Linked DNA regions of Danio rerio. The protein of the gene in region 1 interacts with the protein of each later gene in a pairwise test. Links are inferred from orthologs where the notes say so. Each region holds a gene or a part of one and is shown in the gene's direction. Other genes may lie near its edges.

What was found. The genes of interacting proteins can lie anywhere in the genome.
Region 2: the proteins of cep70 (region 1) and abt1 interact in a two-hybrid assay, tested with the Homo sapiens proteins (2 studies listed by BioGRID and IntAct). The two-hybrid records come from large-scale screens. The link is inferred for Danio rerio from reciprocal best matches to the Homo sapiens genes CEP70 and ABT1.

The regions. Positions count from the first base shown.
Region 1 is NC_133197.1:12,304,453-12,308,347, reverse strand, and holds part of cep70 (centrosomal protein of 70 kDa), read left to right. Parts: intron 1-1,422; coding exon 1,423-1,511; intron 1,512-3,302; coding exon 3,303-3,380; intron 3,381-3,446; coding exon 3,447-3,549; intron 3,550-3,895.
Region 2 is NC_133183.1:10,041,783-10,045,934, reverse strand, and holds the start of abt1 (activator of basal transcription 1), read left to right. Parts: upstream 1-1,352; 5' UTR 1,353-1,498; intron 1,499-1,653; 5' UTR 1,654-1,678; coding exon 1,679-2,039; intron 2,040-4,152.

The DNA.
Region 1 (3,895 bases):
TTGGTGAACAGCGCCTAAATTTCTAAAGCTCTTTCTGTTGAGAAGGTAAAGACAATAACCAATTATAGACGTGTAAGACCTTCGCCTGTCAGCGCTCAAAAAGCAGGCGGGATAATATTTACATTAGTTTATTTGCTGTAAATGGCGAGGCAGTGGCGCAGTAGGTAGTGCTGTCGCCTCACAGCAAGAAGGTCGCTGGTTCGAGCCTCGGCTGGGTCAGTTGGCGTTTCTGTGTGGAGTTTGCATGTTCTCCCTGCCTTCATGTGGGTTTCCTCCGGGTGCTCCGGTTTCCCCCACAGTCCAAAGACATGTGGTACAGGTGAATTGGGTAAGCTAAATTGTCCGTTGTGTATGAGTGTGTGTGTGAATGTGTGTGTGGATGTTTCCCAGAAATGAGTTGCGGCTGGAAGGGCATCCGCTGCATAAAAACTTGCTGGATAAGTTGGCGGTTCATTCCGCTGTGGCGACCCTGGATTAATAAAGGGACTAAGCTGACAAGAAAATGAATGAATGAATGAATTTGCTGTAAATGCTCATCCTGTCTTTTGTGCACGTGTTTTGTTTGATACATTCAGAAAGAATGTTTTCTTTGAGCAGGTCAAATTAAGGGCACAGTTCATATATTTAAGAACTAAATTGTATTACAAATAATCCTTTTACTGTCGCACCAATATAATTTTTTTTGACTGCATTTCTTAACTCCTAATGTCGCTAGTTAACACAGGCAATGCATTTTTTCCCCAACACTTTCCATAATTTCTAAAATATCAGCCTCTACCAAATAGTTGAGATGTTGGTTTATGCTAAAAGTACCAGAATTAATAACTTTATACATCTCTGGTTTTTACTTTGGATGTCAATTGGGTGCTTTTATCCAGACATTCTTCTGAATATCCAGCTTTGTGTTCAACAGAAAAAAATTTTTCCTAAAAGTTTCAAACAACTTGAGTATATTTTATTTTTGTTTGAACTGTCCCTTTAAGTCTCTGCAGAGATGGCAACAAGCTGTTTAAACAAGTAATAATAATACAAACAATAATATTTAAAGCTGCAAGCAGCATTGAGGGGCCCAAGCACTTTTATCACTGCAACCTTGGTTAACACAGCGCAACACAGGCTAGAGCTGAAGATCTTTGCCCAAACTCAATGACTTTAGGGAATAATGTAGTTCATTTTACACAGGCTGGGCTTCGACTTAGGTCTAGACTTGCGCTTGGCTTGTGTGGTAAATGAGTGATCACATAAAGCATTTGAACAAACCAGTTCTAGATTTTAGAGGTAATTTAAGATTTAATTTAAGATTGGAGATTTTATTGTCGCTGTAAGAGCAATTCTTATAGTGGTGATTAATCTTTTTTTTATGGGTATATTGCAAAATATAATGAAGATCCCTAATGTAAATTAGATTTTGTTCATCTGCAGTCATACCAGGAGCAACTAAAGGAATCCAAAGCTCAGCGGGAAGAGCTCAGGACTGAAATCCAGCGCTTGAAGGAAGATCTGGAATCCAGGTTGGTTGCAGATTTTTTAAGACATTACCCAGGATTCCCACTGGTCATAGAATTTCTGGAATATCGTGACATCTTAGAAGGTTTTTCCAGACATTGAAAGTCAAGGAGTTTTTTTTTGTTGTTGTATTATTTCATGGAATATCAGAGATTTTTGTTTGTCATATAAATTTTATTCATTTATTAATTTTCTTTTCGGCTTAGTCCCTTTGTTAATCTGGGGTCACCACAGAGGAATGAACCACCAACTTATCCAGCATATGTTTTACGCAGCTGATGCCCTTCCAGCTGCAACCTATCACTGGGAAACACCCAAATGCTCTCATTGTCATTATGGACAGTTTTGTTTATTCAGCACATGTCTTTGGACTGTGGTGTAAACCGGAGCACTCGGAGGAAACCCACGTAAACGCGGGAAGAACATGCAAACTCCACACAGAAATGCCAACTGACCCAGCCGAGGCTCGAACCAGCGACCTTCTTGCTGTGAGACAATTTTGCTACCCACTGCGCCACCATTATGCCATTTTAAATTTTACTTACCATAACCAAAAAAAAATAATTCTACATTGTGTATTATTATCGTTGTTTCATGTGTTTGGCCTGTTGTCATGGTTAGGCAATTTTTCACTGTCATCTTAATTCTTTATACTTGGATTTTTGGTAAAAGTTTCTGATTATTGCAGCCTAAAATGGCCGATTCTTAAAATATGTTGCAATATTTGTACATTTTTATCATTATTGTTGTTTTTGCGGTTATAATATACACATCTTAGTTGTTATTTTTTAATATTACTTTTTAACCTCAATAGCCATTGAACTCTATATAAAGAGAACACAGAAACAAAGAAAGTGTTTACTTCTTAATCGTAAAGCTTACTACATCATATTTGATGCATGACTGACTCTAAATTGTCATTCATTAATTTTCCTTCAGCTCAGTCTCTTATTTATCAGGGGTCATTACAGCAGAATGAACCACCAACTATTTCGACGTATGTTTTACGCAGCAGATGCACTTCCAGCTGCAACCCAGTACTTGGAAACACCCATACACTCTCTTATTCACACAGGCACTCATACACTACGGCCAATTTAGTTCATCCAATTCACTTATTGCACATCTTTGGACTGTGGAGGAAACCCACACGAATACTGGGAAAACATGTAAACTCCACACAGAAATGCCAACTGGTCCAACCGGGACTCGAATCAGCAACCTTCTTGCTGTGAGGTGACAGTGCTAACCACCGAACCACCGTGCAGCCTCTCTAAATGATTAAAATAAACTAAACTGTCAATTTCTTAAACAGTAATGTTAAAAATGTTCACATGTTTACTGATCGATACAACAAAATTGACTGGCTGAATTCAATGTTGTGTTTTTTTTTTATGATGTGTCTAAAGCAGGTCACACATCTGTATATGACACCAGTATGAGCACTTTCTATACATGAGTATAGTGTTATTTATTATTAAATGATATGGAAGGAATTTGAACACATGTTGAACATTTGTCACAGCTTGCCAAGATCTGCAGAAAGTTGGATGCAATCTTTTGCTCCATTTGCCTTATTTATTTATTTAATTTTTTTGCATTAAATTCAGCGACCGCAGAATTCTGTCAGCACTGCTCAACACAACATCTCCCTATTTGGAAATTTTGCTTTTTAGTTAGTAAAAGTTAGAAAAAAGTCAAGGACATTTACATTTGTCTTACAGTGGGAACCCTGTTTATCATTGTTTTATACTTTAGTCATTTTGTTGACTTTTTTGATGTTACATTTGTTTTAGACCCACGATTAAAGAGCTGAAGACCTGCAAACAGCAGCTGAGACGCTTGGATCGAATCATTCAGCAGAGTAACCTCAGGTAAGATCTGCAGTGAATAGCTCTGTTTTTCTGATGGATCGGGCTAATGAATGTCTTGTTGAACAGGTCAGCTCAAGAATTGAAACCGCAGGACTCTACAGAGAAACCGGACACCGATAACGCCAGTATCCAGAGCCTGGACATTTCGACATGCAGGAGACTTCTCACAGTATGTTAAGATCAACAATATGGATCAGAGAAACTAAAATGATAAAACTAGTCCTGTTGCGATTCATTTGCAGTTTTTTTTCCATCTAAGTGTGGTTGCTTAGCACAAGGGGTGACTTAAACCGAAATACTTAAGTGTTTTTTAAGCATTTTTTCACTTTCACTTTTTATATTCGCAATGGCTTTGAATGGGGGTGAGACAGACTGCTTGTCTAAATTGCATTTGAATGCTGTCTTTCTACTAATCACTGTGCAGAGTTTTACTGAATATATTCAGTAAATATATTGATATAATATATAATATAATTAAATATTGATAATAATTTACAAAAGAGTCGATCACAATC
Region 2 (4,152 bases), on another chromosome or scaffold:
GTTCACGTGGGTTTCCTCCAGGTGCTCCGGTTTCCCCCACAGTCCAAAGACATGCGGTACAGGTGAATTGGGTAGGCTAAATTGTAGTAATTGTAATTGTCCGAAGTGTATGACTGTGTGTGTGTGAATGTTTCCCAGAGATGGGTTGCGGCTGGAAGGGCATCTGCTCCGTAAAAACTTGCTGGATAAGTTGGCGGTTCATTCTGCTGTGGCGAGCCTGGATTAATAAAGGGACTAAGCCGACAAGAAAATGAATGAATGTTTGTTTGTATGTTGGGTGTCACGGTGGCACAATGGGTAGCATACTCGCCTCACAGCAAGAAGGTCGCTAGTTTGAGTCTCGGCTGGGTCAGTTGGCATTTCTGTGTGGAGTTTGCATGCTCTCCCTGCGTTGGTGTGGGTTTCCTCTGGGTGCTCTGGTTTCCCCCACAGTCCAAAGACATGTGGTATAGGTGAATTGGTGTAAGCTAAATTGTCCGTAGTGTGTAAATGCGTATGTATGGATGTTTCCCAATGATGGGTTGCAACTAGAAGGGCATCTGCTGCTTAAAACATATGCTGGATAAGTTGGGGGTTCATTCCGCTGAGGCGACATCTGATGAATAAAGGGACTAAGCCGAAAAGAAAATGAATGAATGTTTGTTTTTTTGTTCGTTTACTTCTGTGGGAAATTATCCTCTTTGTAGATAATTCTCCTTTAGAAATTATTGTATTTTTGAACTTAAACTTTAATTAATCATCTTTAAGTCAAAAGCTGCTGGCTAGTTGGTAGCATTATCAAAGGGTTGGAAGTTGAAGCTTCTAGCTATACTAAAACAGAATTATAAAGTATTTAATGTGGTACCTTGCCAGCCAGTGTTGGGTTGCAGCTGGAAGGGCATCCGCTGTGTAAAACATATGCTGGATAAGTTGGTGTTTCATTCCACTGTGGCGACCCCTGATGAATAAAGGGACTAAGTCGAAAAGAAATTGAATGAATGAATGAATGAATGAATAATTGAATGAATGAATGAATGAATGAATGAATGAATGAATGAATGAATGAATGAATGAATGAATGAATGTGGTACCTTTTTATTTAATCCAGATCATGATGCTTAAGTTGTTCCTTGTGTTTTGTCGTCCTCTGCTGTTCAAAACAAAGGTTACAGTTAAAATGTTTTAAATAATCGTCCATTCCAGTAATAAATTTATACATATTCTATTTAAGCGTGTTTAAATATATAGTCAACTTGGCAGATTAGTAAAACGAATATATCATTCGATATTAACGAAATTTAATACAACGGATTTGACGAGAACCTTCTCAGTTCTGTCTCTTTAAGAAAGTTTTGACGCTTGATTTCGACGTCACAGCCGCTTCCAGTACCACAGCCACATGTGTTGAAAGAGTCGATTTATCGCAACAATTCTCCTATAAAAGCGTCTTGGAAAGGATTGATTGCTTTATGGACGAAGAAAGCTTTGTGAAAGGAAACACCCCGATAACATTTTCAATGTAAGAATCACTTTTAATACAAGTGTTTTTAAAAAGGTATTGAATTCAAGAGTACGCGCACAGATATTACCACTTATTTACGTTATTTTATAGATGAGACCCTCGGTAATGTGAGATTTTAATGGGTTTTTAACATCCTTCATTCCTAATTTCAGTCTCTAAACGTTGCTACATCCAATAATGTCTCTCCTGGAGACGAATGAAGTGAAAACAGACCTAGAAACACAACCTGTGTTCAGTGAAGACGAGTTAAATGACTGTAAACCAGAGAAAGATGAAGAGGAGAAAGCAGACAGTGCTGAAGAAGATGAGCAGGAGATGAACTCTGAGGAAGACATTAATGATGGTGAAGCTTTTCACATGGAGATTGAAGATGATGATGATGATGATGAAGAAGACGAGTCTGACAAGCCAAAGGGCAAGAAATGTGTTCCAGGTATCGTGTATTTGGGACACATTCCTCCAAGGATGAGACCGAAACACATGCGGAATCTCCTGAGTGCGTATGGAGAGATCGGGAGGATCTTCTTACAGCCTGAAGGTAAAACTTCAAAAACACATAATTGAAAAGGACATCTATAAAGGTTTGTGAATTTGACTGCTGGACTGGGCAGATTTAGTGATTTGGGGGCATTAACCAATTCCATTCATGGGGCCCAACAGTCCTAAAAAGGTTGAGGGAAAGTTGGTTTTAGATTCACATACAGTAAATAGGACTTTCTCTCTAATAATATAATTTCAGCAAAGTTTTCTGTGCAAGGTCTAAATAGTGAGGTCATATTAGCAGCCAATCACTATCAAAGCACAACATTGTTCATAGTGAAATAAATGGTGCTAATGTTGTTTACAAGTCATTTTTACATTACATTTCAGATCAAATATTCATAATAACAGTGTAAATAATATAGAGAGCTTGTCACAAGTTGTAACTGAACAAATGTGCAAAATATAAAACCAACTGTACCTCAATCCTAATGTGCACCCTTTCCTCTTTTACTTAATTTTTATTATTTAGCAACTTTTTTAAATATCACATAATCTTCGTTTCTTAGTTTTTATCCTAACGGCAATCTATTCATTGTAAATTATTCATATTATAATAATGAATTAACAACTAAAAATAAAATATTTTTCTATAAATCTGACAGCTGCATTGTTCCATGATTGGGGGTGGTGGACAAATTTTATCCGTTGTAATAATAATATTTTATTTTATAATGTAATTATTACACAATGCAACATTGTTATTATAATAATATTCTATATTATTTTATATTAAATAGTATTTTAATACTTTAACCCTTAACATATTACATATGATAGAAAACAATGTTATATATAACCATTTTCAAGGTATACTGTGATATGGAAAAGTCAAGGTTTTAAAACCACCAAACTTTTCTGCTATACCGTTCCTAAGGTATGTGTAAGATTTTTTTTTTTTTTGTTTGTTTTTTAGGGCAACAGTATTTCCAGCAAAAAAGATATCCAAAGATGCCATTTTAAGTTTTAAAGAAATCTGTGTTTTTGAAACTTACGAAGACAGCAGAAGTCAATGAATCATTTAAATTGTTCAGTCTGACATGTTTACTGCTCCAAAATATTTTAAACGTTTCTCAAAATAAAATATAGTGTGCTCAAAGGTGGGAAAAGTTTTTTGTTTTTTACCCAGACATTTCTAAATAATATATTTTAAAGCAGTAATCACAGTACCGTGAAACCATGATATTTTTTATCCAAGGTTATCATACCGTTAGAATCTTAGTTTAAACATTAGTATTCATTTGTTTAAAAAAAAACAATTGAGCTCTAAAAACATTACACCTTTATGCAAACATAAAATTGACAGAAATGTTTTCAGTACTTTACAGATGAAAATAAGACATTTTATTCAAACGCATAACTTCAAATTGTAAATTGTATAGTATGTATATAGCGATAAAACCTGAAATATTTACATGTTATTTTTTCAAAAATATAAGTGTTTTGAAGGGATAGTTTCCTAAAAAACAAAAAATGTCATCATTTACTCTTTCTAATCTTATAAAGTTTCTTTCTTATATTGAACCCAAAGGAAAATTTGCTGAAGAAAAACATTTTTTGTTTCTACTATAAATGTCTGTCATTTTTTTCCCCCAGCATTTTTCAGAATATCTTGTTTTGTCTTCAACAGTAGAACCACTTGCCTTTGGGTAAATTTATTTATTTATTTTTTTCCATTTTTGGGTGAACTATCCCTTTAAGCATTTCATTAAATGAAATTTACAATTTATTTCGGCATATATAGCAATACATAAGCATATACATGAGCTTAAGTTAAATGGATAGTTCACTAAAAATATTTAAAAATTTACTCGCTATTTAATCCTCATCCAGTGGTTACAGAACTTTGAGTTTCTTTATTCCTTCAAACACAAAAGAAGATATTTTGAAGAAAATTGTAACCATTGACTTCTATTGGAAAAATGAATACTATGGACGTCAATGGTTACAGATTTCTTTAAAATGTCTTTTATGTCCAATAGAAGAAAGGTTTGAAAATTGAGTGAATGACAACGACGGAATTTTCAGTTTTGAGTAAACAATTTTTTTTAACTAAATGTTTTTTATGTTTGACTAACTTTCCATTCTACTATTTATTTGTGACGGTCTTG